Oryzias latipes: one gene and its partners. The main gene of each other region encodes a partner of the protein of the gene in region 2 in a complex. Links are inferred from orthologs where the notes say so. Each region holds a gene or a part of one and is shown on either strand. Other genes may lie near its edges.

Evidence for each region.
Region 1: the proteins of mitogen-activated protein kinase 10 (region 2) and atf2 are in contact, whole or in part, in a crystal structure (PDB 4H36), measured with the Homo sapiens proteins. The link is inferred for Oryzias latipes from reciprocal best matches to the Homo sapiens genes MAPK10 and ATF2. Residues at the interface, in NP_620448.1 of Homo sapiens: Asp150, Ala151, Gln155, Met159, Glu164, Arg165, Tyr168, Val197, Lys198, Ser199, Asp200, Cys201, Trp362, Glu367; in NP_001243019.1 of Homo sapiens: Lys48, His49, Met51, Thr52, Leu53, Lys54, Phe55.
Region 3: the proteins of mitogen-activated protein kinase 10 (region 2) and mapk8ip1 are in contact, whole or in part, in a crystal structure (PDB 3PTG), measured with the Homo sapiens proteins. The link is inferred for Oryzias latipes from reciprocal best matches to the Homo sapiens genes MAPK10 and MAPK8IP1. Residues at the interface, in NP_620448.1 of Homo sapiens: Asp150, Ala151, Gln155, Val156, Met159, Leu161, Glu164, Arg165, Tyr168, Leu169, Tyr171, Val197, Lys198, Ser199, Asp200, Cys201, Trp362, Asp364, Glu367; in NP_005447.1 of Homo sapiens: Pro158, Lys159, Arg160, Pro161, Thr162, Thr163, Leu164, Asn165, Leu166.

What each region holds. Positions count from the first base shown.
Region 1 is NC_019879.2:22,381,687-22,385,942, forward strand, and holds the start of atf2 (cyclic AMP-dependent transcription factor ATF-2), read right to left. Parts: upstream 2,878-4,256; 5' UTR 2,802-2,877; intron 2,177-2,801; 5' UTR 2,149-2,176; coding exon 2,101-2,148; intron 1,254-2,100; coding exon 1,157-1,253; intron 1,057-1,156; coding exon 938-1,056; intron 835-937; coding exon 709-834; intron 385-708; coding exon 206-384; intron 1-205. Other genes in the region: atp5mc3 (ATP synthase F(0) complex subunit C3, mitochondrial), read right to left, coding at 3,772-3,886, 3,977-4,167. UniProt on the Homo sapiens protein: Transcriptional activator which regulates the transcription of various genes, including those involved in anti-apoptosis, cell growth, and DNA damage response.
Region 2 is NC_019870.2:10,340,586-10,343,500, forward strand, and holds part of mitogen-activated protein kinase 10, read right to left. Parts: intron 1,306-2,915; coding exon of another isoform or gene 1,301-1,305; coding exon 1,158-1,300; 3' UTR 1-1,157. UniProt on the Homo sapiens protein: Serine/threonine-protein kinase involved in various processes such as neuronal proliferation, differentiation, migration and programmed cell death.
Region 3 is NC_019861.2:7,597,105-7,601,468, reverse strand, and holds the start of mapk8ip1 (C-Jun-amino-terminal kinase-interacting protein 1), read left to right. Parts: upstream 1-1,469; 5' UTR 1,470-1,554; coding exon 1,555-1,631; intron 1,632-4,364. UniProt on the Homo sapiens protein: The JNK-interacting protein (JIP) group of scaffold proteins selectively mediates JNK signaling by aggregating specific components of the MAPK cascade to form a functional JNK signaling module. Required for JNK activation in response to excitotoxic stress.

The DNA of each region.
Region 1 (4,256 bases), on a different chromosome or scaffold from region 2:
AAGATGTCGCTAAAATTGGAAGAATTCACAGTTGATTTGGCGTTTACAACAAAATGAAAGACTTACACCAGAGTGCAGATTGATTAAAAAAATAAACATAAAATACAAGCACATGCCTCACAAAATGCACAAAACTACACAAAAATGATTAAAAAAAACTAAAAACTAAGATTTGTTTTAAAAATGGACGCATTCCGTTACTTACACTATGGGTCTATTAGTGGATGGAACCTGGGTAATAACAGAGCTAGATGTTGGCGATGGGAGAGCTGGCTGTATTACAACATTAGCGTCCGTGGTTGCTAGAAGTACATTGGGAACTTGGAGGGATGCAGGATGGACTATAGTGGATGTTGGCAGTGAGGCAGGCTGCAAAGTTAAGTCCTGAAAACATCATACAAGACCTTAGCTGCAGAAATGTTTAGTGAACACCAGCTTAGTTAGTTACAAGAACTTTTTGCAAATATTTTTTTGGTTGGTTTTAGGATTTCCAAATCAAAATTAAGAGCAGTGTTTGAATAAAAAAAAAAAAGAGAGTGGGGTTTGAAAATAAAAAACAAATAAATCGAAGAATTCAAGCAGGTGAAAGAAGAAGTACAATTTCTATAGTAAATGAATGATTACAGAAACAGGAGGATTCTTAATTATTCATGTTTAATAGCACTCCTAAAACCCATTAGAGAGCTAACTAAACAGAAAAAAATCTACCTTGTCATCGTTTGTGGTGGACTCAGGATGAGGAAGGGGGCTGTTCCGATGTGCATCTACAGCTGCGGGTTCCTCAGTTTTGTTGCGTATGACTGGTGTAGCAAGAGGTGACAAATCCAGAGGTAGCTTTGGGAAGGTTAAAAGAAAAAGAAAAAAAGCAGATATAAACTCTGGACTTCAGAGATCATCCTAAGAGAAGATTTGACAGAAGTTACAGAACAAACTCAACCTTCTTCAAGTCATCTTCAGCTGCTTTTTTGAAGTCATGGTCAAAAGGACTGGCAAGTTCGTTGAAAAGCCCGACTTCCTCGCAGTTTTTCAAAAAGCGAGTGGGTGTCGGCGTTTGATCTGTAATAGAGAAAAGAAAAGATAAAAGAAGAAAAAAATCACACTTAAGGAGGCAAAAACACACAAACATCTATAGACATAAAACTTAAGAAGGACTCACCAGCAATTATGATATTGTCGGTCCTCGCTGGGCCAAACTTTAGTGTCATCTCGTGTTTGTGTCTGTGGACAGCCAAGTGGTCTTCATTTGTAAATCTCTGAGCAAGGTAAAAAGGAAATAAATGAATAAAAAAACAACTTTATTCTGCATATCCTTTGAGAGACAACAATGACTCACAATGTTAAATATGTTAAAATACTAACAATTTCAAAAAGTAAACGGTGCATTGCTAAAATCCAAAGAAATCAAACCCTAAATAAACATAAACATAGGCTTAATGTGTGTTTTTATGTTTATTGTGACTGTGCGCGTACATTTACCACAATAATTACATATTTTTACCCTTTAGCCAACTTTACTTTGGCACTAGAAATTAAACAGTTGATGTGACTTCAAAAAAGAGATGCTTTTTATTATTTGACCCTTTTGTGAATCCTCAAATTGGATGCAGACTCAGGCTTTTATTAACTCCAGTGATTCTGTTTTTAAGTGGATTTATCTGTACCACAAATAATCACAAATCCTTCAAACAGTAACTTCAGCTTTTAAAATGTCTGATAAGAATGCACAAACTACGTTTTTTAGTTGAATTATTCGATATTATCAGCAAAGATAGCAAATGTATGTAAAATGTACACATTGAGTACCCAAATATTTGGTTACCATATTTGATGCATATATATATATATATATATATATATATATATATATATTAAAGTTAGTCTCTGGAGAAATACAACTACCGTATCTCAAAACATGTAATATTATAATACCTTCAACGTTTTTAAATAATCTAGAATGTAAAGATGTAAGCTCAACAACTCCACCATATAAATTTACAACACATTGGAATTGGTTTTTTTCCTTCTATTTTTCAAAAAATAAAAATAACTGAATCACTAACTAAAAAGAAATAAAAACTATGAAGAACTATGTCAGCTTACCTGTCCACATCCTGGAGCAGTACACTGGAAGGGTTTGTCATCACTCATATTAAGAAATTCTTGCTATATTTTTGTCCTACAATAAATGAATAAAAACAACATATTTCATCTCAATTAACTTAATTTCCATTTAAAACAGAAATAAATTCAACAGCCACAGAAAAGACAACCACGTAATCGTGGCTGATCAAAAGGAGGGTTAGAGGGTTAATTTTTAGATAATAGTAGAAATGACTCGAGACTCGAGTGGGACTGTTAAGGGCAAATCTAGTGAAAGGACAAATAAGATTTTGGACAAAGCCAGTGAGGAGGTGGGGTTGCTCTGTCTGTGCTTATTTATTAGCTCGGTGATGCAGTGCAGGGTCGTTCGGTGTGTGGTCGTTCGGATTGTGTATTTTTCAACACGAACAAAGAAATTATGCATGTTTTTTGTTGGAAAAAAAAGTTTCACGTTTAATTCCGACTAAAGTCATCACACAACAAAAGCTACATTATGATCCGATCCTCCGCTCCAGCCTGAGCTGAGATAACGCACAGCCGTCGCCATGTTAGAACCAACAAATCACTAAACAGATAACCTTTTGGTATTTAATTTGAGGGGGATTAATTTCACTTGGAAGAAAATAACACCGATTTCAGATAAAGGGTGCCCTTTTTTGCATTTGTAATAAAACTCGCTTTCAATTTGAGTTGTTACTTACCCCTTTAGCCACAAACGTTGTTTTCCCAAACCCCAAAGTATCGCGAGAAAACAATTTCTTCTTCCGTAAACGTCACACTAACCCAAACGCCGTAAACATACTAATGGACACTAATAAACCCATTTACCCATAAATTTACCCATTTACCCATAAATTCAATATTTTATAAATAATTGCCATCATTTCTACTGCATTACAACTTTATTTACAGTCTACGGAACCACCTCAAGTTAACATTCCTTTTTTACTCAAAGGCCAAATTTCTTTAAAACAATTCAATTTAGAGAAACATTATCGTGTACTCTATATTAAATTAAATCACAAGGAACTATTTTTGATTGAAGCAGTAAACAAACCACATGGGTAATTTATATTACAAAAAAAAAAAAACATTTGGTCAACTTTGTTGCCAAATATTACTAATTTACTGACTTCCAAATGACAATTACTTTTTAACTGAGAATTTTGTTCTGATGGACCGTTTTAGTGGCAACTCATTCATTTGACAAACCTCGAAACCCTGTTGGGGTCGGGAAATAAATTCAAAAACCCAAATTATAATTCAATCTAGATTTATTCAACGTGATTTACAAAAGCAAGTAATCACTTGTTGCCTCTTACAGTTCTACTTAACTGCAACTGAGTTAAGTGCTTATGACGGTGGACCCCATATAACTCTCAGAAAGCAAGTTGATTCACAAGGGGAGAAGATGTTCTGACATTTGTGAGAGCAAACTGCTTTCAGTTACCATGATATTCCAGACATAGACGTTGCTGCCACTGATAAATACTCAAATGCATGTATTAAATTCACGCACATTGTTATGTTTGTACATGTTTTGTTTAATTTTGACTGTGTCGGAAAGACTTGAAAAATTTACATTTCCATGACACCAACACTGAACAATTTTAGAAGCCACAATAAAATATGTAGTCACATCTGTAATGAAAGTGTTGGGAGGGCAGTGCTTTACATTGCAAACAGGATCAGAAAAGCAACCATCAAACAGAATAGTCCCATAGCTTCAGACAGGGCGAAACCCAGGATGGCATATGAGAACAGCTGCTGCTTCAAAGATGGGTTCCTGCAAACAAAAAGAAGTCAATAAATGTAAAGAAAACATTTGAATTGTACCCCAAAAAAACATGTACACAGTGACCAAATGGCAACAAACCTGGCATAGCCAATAATGAGACTACCGAACACTGTTCCAATTCCAGCACCAGATCCAGCGACTCCGACTGTAGCGGCTCCAGCACCAATGAACTTGGCGGCGGTGTCAATGTCCCTGCTGATGGCACTGGTCTGGAAGCCTCTCAGTGTGACCTGTGTGAGGGGGCTTTGTGGCATCACAGCAACAGAGCTCTGCAGCGAAAGACAAAAAATGAAAACATTCACTTCAAAGAAACACCACAGACAGGCATGGGAAATACAGTTACTGTTAAAAAAACACC
Region 2 (2,915 bases):
GGAATTATTCAGCAGAGAAATTGAGATCTTTTCTATCCAGGTTTGAATTTTTATGAAGTGTGATTGTACGTGCAGGGTGTTTACCTCCAAACTACAGAGTTGGCACCCTTCACCTGTCTTTGATTCCTCTCCACATGTTTTAAAAGGGACTTAAAGTCACCTTGTTACCATGACACCACAGGTAAATGCATCCTTCTCCATCACAATGGAGCACAATGACATGCAGGACTGTGTGCCAGCATTTGGAGAGATAGAGGCAGCGCTCACATTCTGCCAGGAGGGGGTTAAAAAAAAGAGAGAAAGGATTAACCTCTTCCCAGGAAACACATTCATTTCTGACCCCTATTGATCTGTTTGGGCTAGAAACACACACACTCCCACATTTCACTGAGAAAAGACCCCCCAAAAACGTCTGGAGTCGAGTTAGTTTACATTGTACATCCACAGAAGCCTGTATTTTTTTACGCATACAGTGAGATTGTTTAAATCTAGTCATGCAGGACTACAGCGATAGGCGTGGACAACTGAGGGGGCGAGATGTAATGTGGCAAGGTGTGTGATTGTAGGAGGAAAAATAAGAAAACTCCCAGAGTACTGGCCGTCAGTCCCACACCGTCTTCCTTTGAGCTGTACAGAATTACATTATTTACAGGTATTTTAGGGAGCCTCCTGAAGACTCGCTGCGTAAAAACACACAAATCCGACAACCTTCCCTTAATTTGGATGGAGATGATGAGGAACAGTGATTACGTGAAATTAGAATGAAACGTGGTGATAAGAAGAACAGCAGCCCACCTTGCCACATTAAACAAAAATGGAAGGAATATCAGTCTGTCAGCACTGTGCTATATATGAAGAGTTCCTTTGCTTTTGTTTGAATGCCATATACAAGACATGTGGGGTAATATAAGCAAAGCAACTAGAGGATCATAACCATATATCTCATTTACTTCAGCTTAAATACCACTGTTGGTTTTCAATGACAATGCACAGGCTGTTGGGTTTTAGCATTTCATGTTCTGTGTTTCCATAGCTCATGTTTTTGTTCTCAATATAATCATTTTTCCCTTTTTTTGCATTTTTTTTCTTCTTTTTCCTCTGTCGTAGATAGTTCTTCACCGACGGAAGAACGCAGGGTTGCGCAGGCAGGCGGCTAGTCACCTGCAACACCCCAGGGGTCCCGCAGAGGTCTCCAGGCTGCTGTCAGTGTCGGAGGCCAGGGTCTGGTCGGTGGACATGGAGGAGATGTCGTTGATGGAGGAGGACGGAGGGAGGCTCTCGCTGCTATTCACTGCTGCACCTGTGCTAAGGGAATCAACAGCAGAGGGGGGGTTACAACGTAAAAGAGTGCTGGCAGGGGGAGAGATTCTTGTAAGCGCACACGGGGAGGCACCAACGATGAAAACAACAGCCAGGGGGCACAATCACACCATCTACAACAGAGACAAACTGATTAAGGTTTGGGTTCTTTTGGTTCCGCAAGTCAAAAAAACCTTGTTGCCTCATGTATCTTTTACTTTTTTTATAATATATTTATTATAATTAGTTTAGTATTTTTTTGTTATTTTGAGTCTCATAACATTATAAATAATGCTGAACTAGTACTTATTTTTCTACCCTTTAGAAAACAAGCTTTACAATTGTCCAGACTTTTTCTTTTAAAAACAACTTCCTAAAATGTTTTTTTTTTTTTAATTTAAATGGGGAACCTGACCTTCTAAAAGTCCTCACTGCTTGACTTAAATATTTTTCAAAGGTTTCATTGTTCCAGAGCGTTTTCTTGATTTCTCTGGTTTTGGGATTTAGTTCATTAGCTTTCTAAACAAACCATAACCAACATTTTCCTATTCATGTTTATCCTTTTTTTTGGTTTCTAAAGTTTGTTTAATCCATGAGAGTTTTTTTGTTTTGTTTTTTTTTTTTTTTTATTTCAGTCATTTTTCAATAGAATATCATGTAAAGGCTGTGATGCAGATATTTTGCTGATGCAAACACATGAGCCTGGGGGGAGTTCGGGAGGCCATGGAGAAGGACTGAAGTCATCAAAATAGTCAGAAAGCCTCTGGATGGAACTTCGCAGAGGATAGATGAGATTTGCACCAAATGCCTCAGGTTTCTGGGCTGTCTTTGTTAAAACCCCTATGCACAATTGAATCGGTTAGTTCAAAAGGGGCCCAAGTCCAAGAGGTTTGTTTTTCCAGGAAATGATATTAATTGCATAGCTTAAAGGGAGGCTACCCCAAATGATTAATACTTTACCCAGATTTAGCACCAGTTCATAGATTACAAATGCTATAAAATGAAGTACCTCCCTTTTATAATTTCAGTGGACTAACAAACTAATGTCTCTGGACTTGGGCCCTTCTTGAATTAAACAGGGGCGCTGTCATTTTGGATAACTAGTGCTGCCATCTATGGGATAGAGCAAAACCCATGCAAGAGAGGCCCAAGTCCAGGAATTTTGCACTTAATGCATTTTAAATGTCAAACAAAGTCAATACATTACAAAAGACTTGGGACTTTTTTGCACATAATCAGATAGCTTTTCCCTTGAAGACCATAGAACATATAATATCTCTATTTTGAAAAATTGTGGACTTGGGCCCCTTTTGAAACAACCGATTCATTTGTGTGGGGGTTGAGAACAGTGTCTCTGGACTGGAAAATAAGGGGTGGTGGTCCCTTTTTCAAGAAGGGGCATTGGGGAATGACCTCTACTTACAAGTTGATCAAAGGATTTCATATCTGCTTATTGAAAATGATCCTCCTCTGCTGGCTTCACCAAACCAGATTTACTGATCAAGCTAAGACCCTGCCCTCAGCTGCATGGTCATGAGCTTTGGGTCATGATCCAAAACGATAAGGTCCAAGATACCAGTGCATGGGTGCAGGGTGGCTCCCTTAAATATTGGGGC
Region 3 (4,364 bases), on a different chromosome or scaffold from region 2:
AGCTCTGCAGTTCTCGCCCGATAAATACGAGCTCATTAAGGAAGCTGTTTTTTACGTGGCATGCGCTTCGTACGGAGCTAGCAGCGCCTTTGAAATGCCATGCTCCCCCCATTGCACGGTTAACAGAGCATGACAAATGATAGCCGCTGCTTTCTGTCTTTGTAATAAAACGCCTAATCTGTTAATACAAAAGTATCTTTGTGTAATCTTACTGTGTAGTTCTTAATCATCAGTATATAAACAACAATGTTCAAATAAACATGTAACTAATAAACATAACTTACAAACAATTACTAATAGTATTTTATATATATATATATATATATATATATATATATATATATATATATATATATATATATATATATATATATATATATATATATATATATATACATACATACATACATATTTTATAGGTAGATCTTCAAGACATTGTCGATTCAAAAGTACCCCTGCACTAGACAGTGCGCTTAACCATTTTTCTTGAATGATTTGTGATCATCACTGGTGTCCATGGATTGCATGAAATCTTTCCACCTTTCTCATGGTAGGAATAACACGTCAATGTAAGGGTGGCGTCATCTAAGATAGCACAAGGATTAATTGTCTTGCTTTTAGTAATTCATTGTCAGATCTTCTGTTAGCCTTTTGTTTCTCCCTTAGTTTATAGTTTTGTCCTGTCTACCTTTATTTATTGAATGTTTATGTTTTTGCTACAAGCCTGACCTATTTTAGGCTTTTCCTCCACTGGGCCCTAAAACAAAGGTATGAAAGAGAATAAAACAAGACCTGAAGAACTTGTGACTCAGTCATTTCTAGAGTTTTCAAAATTATTAATTAATTATTACTTATTCATGAATGAAGAAACAGTAAGGGCAAATAAGGGATTTGGCAGTCTATATACTTAATTTGTGACAGACAGACTTTTAAAAAATCCAAGGCATGCAGCATTTTTATATATATATATATATATATATATATATATATATATATATATATATATATATATATATATATATGTTTAACCGTCCTATGTGAAAAATTCAACATTCAACAATATGGCTTAATTGCAGATATTTTTTCTGCTCTATTTGACTTTCTAACTTGAAGTTTTACTGTCAGATTTATATGTTTTTGGTATTTGTTGTTGGTATACCTACACCTTGCCCTGGGACAACAGTTGTAAATAAGTGTTGCAGCTAACGATGGCACATTTATAAAAATAGTAATGATTAATAATAATTTATTATTATTCATTTCTGACTTTTTTTAAAATAATATTATTATTAAATAAGGTATTGTTATAATTATTATCTATTAATTGGTCTAATAAATATAATACATTAAGTTAACAAAATAACTGGATTGCCTAGTTTAAAATAAAAACAAAAAAAAAAGAAGAAGGGGAAAAAAACGTGTATTCCTAAACACACCAGCGCAGTAGCGATTTATCCCACAGTCTCTGAATGCATCACTCTATCACGGCGTCGCTGCACCTTTCAGGTGTTTGTGCTTGAAGCAGAGTCTGTAGAGACATGACAACTCGCCGGCATGGCGGACAGAGAGAAGAAGAAAAGAGCCCCTGCTTCCGGCCGCAGCGTCCAGGTGAAGCCTTCTGCTAGCCGCAGGTGAGCGAACGAGCGAGCCAGCGGAGGATGGACGAGCTCCACGTCCGTCCGTGGGCGCTGGGGGGACGGCTGTTTGAAGAACAGCCATCCTGAGGGCTGCTGAAGCGGAATGAGTGGAGCTGATGATGCCGGGCTCTGACAACCAAAGTAGATGGTTCAGTGTTTGGGCGTGTCTGCTCTCGGGGGACAGAGCCGGTGGGGGCAGCGTTCAGCCTTCACAGGGCGAATGTCGCAACACGTACTTTTTCTTATCTGCTTCAGCTCCCTTAATCCTTGCAGGCCCGTGAATCAGTAGCTTTTTTTTTTTTAATCACACGTCACATCTTGTTATTGTGCATCATTTGCGTCCATTCTCGTATCACCCCACACTCATATTTTGACAAATTCATAAATCTAATCTGTGAATTTTTCCAGCGTTTTAAACAAGCCCAATTCATTTAAATAAACAGAAGTAGTTTGATGTATTTCAGAGCTACCTGGGAGCTAGAAGTGATGTAAATCTCCATCATTATGAAGCTGATTTGTTTGAGGGTCTGTTTTTTGCATGATTCTTATCTAATGACTTCATCATGTTGGCTTTACCAAATCAAAAGCACTTTAAACATAAAAAGAATGCAGAGAAGGTGGATGTGGGAGCTCCAACCCAAGCTTGCATCAGACAGGAGATCACACAGTTCATCTTAGCATTTAAGAGTAAACCAAATGCAAGTGTTGCAGTGTTGGATTACAAGACGAATGATCACAGATCTAATCCATATTCCCCAATGAGAGATGAAAACAAAGGCACACCCAGTGTACAGCCATTCCTTGTCCTACTAAGCTATACGTACAGACCTGGCATTTGAAGTGCATTCCAAATCGCGCCAATTGCTGTTTATGAATGTGTGTTTTATTCCACGGTGGCGCAGTGGTTAGCGCTCTTGCCTCACAGCAAGAAGGCCCCCGGTTCAAGTCCCGGCTGGGGGACATGAAAAACACAACATCAATGGTCGACCTTTCTGTGTGGAGTTTGCATGTTCTCCCCGTGCATGCGTGGGTTTTCTCCGGGATCTCCGGCTTCCTCCCACCTTCCAAAAACATGCTACATAGGTTGATTGGCAACTCTAAATTGTCCACAGGTCTGAGTGTGAGAGTGAATGGATGTGTGATTGAGGATATTCCACCCTGCGACAGACTGGCGACCAGTCCAGGGTATCCCTTGCCTACGCCCAAGTGGCCGGGATAGGCTCCGGCAACCCCGTGACCCCGAAAGGGAATAAACGGTAAAGAAGATGAATGAATGAATGTTTTATTCCATAGTGTTCACACTGGACAAGCAGGGAGGGGCTTCTTCTTATTTTTCTTCTTTTAACTAGTGCATGTTGGCTACACTTGGAGGAGGCTTTGTGCAAAATGTTAGAACGTTGCAAATCTCAGGAATCTTGGAGTCTAAAAAGAGGAAAAATAAATGACAATGAATTATGAAATGATGAGGTTGTGTAATAAATAGCACACCAAGAGACCTTTTTTAAAAATGTTGGAAAGAATTAGAAACTGTTCACAAGTTTCTACTTTGTATTTGCAAGATGTTTATCCATTAATAGAAATTTGATTTCTTTTCCATTTTTATGTTGGTCTTTACAACAACATTCAAAAGGCACACTCAAAGAAATCATTTCTGGAAAACCTATACTCCGGTTTGGATGGTTTGGCGGTTTGACTTTTGGGCTGGGGATACTGGGACTCTATCTGGCAAAGGGAATCTGCTGCACAGAGCGTAATAAACTTGCCATAGTTAGAAAAATCTTTGATACTGACCAGATCTGTGTTTTCTTTCAGTATTTTTTTTTTCTATTGAGGTTTGAACTTTCAGAGTTTACATAAGAGAGAAAAGTGTGAAAATGTTAATATTTGTCTGAGAAAGTCTATAAAGTGTGTATTGAGAAATTTACAGCCTTAAAACATCAGTAAACCTACTTTGCGGATTAAACCCATAGAATGTGGATACATTTATTGCGTGGGGGACCCGATAAACAAGGGAACACCTTACTTACAATCAGGTCATGGTTTTGAGAAGGCGAAGCTTTTTTAAAAAAAAAGCACAGTTAAAGTTAGGTTTATTCTGAGCAAAGACTTTTGGAACAATCCTCTCAGGACAACAAGAGAAATTGTAGATGTTTAGAAATGCAGAGCAGATGTGTGATTGTTGGCTATTTGCTGACTGAAGCACAGCAGCACAAACAACTTGGACTAAAACTGGTCCTTCTTTAAATGCATCACGATTTAGACACAAACGAGTAAGAATTGATGCAAACAATTTAAATATATACATATTTGTGGAAAGTTGTTTTGCAACTAACTGAAGAGTTATTGCAGTTAATACCATTATTGTCTGAAAATTTGTATTCAGCTAATTACAATCTGTAAAGGTGATAGACGTGTATTTAAATTAGCTTTAGACTCCTTACTATATCACATAATGTTAAGTTCAAGACAATATTGTGTTTTTTCCACCAGCGCTTCAAAATCAGAACCTTAACTTAGAAAACCACATTCTCATAAAAATGAAAACAAATGCTTAGAAATTTCAGTGGACTGATGCCAGAAATTCAACATACCACATATCAGACCAATAATTTCAGACTATAGGAGATCAGAAAACTACTATATCAGTCTGTTTGAGCTATTTGTTTTATAGGTTTTTAAAAAATCTAGTTGTAGGATGAAAAATAATTTTCTTTATATTACAACAAT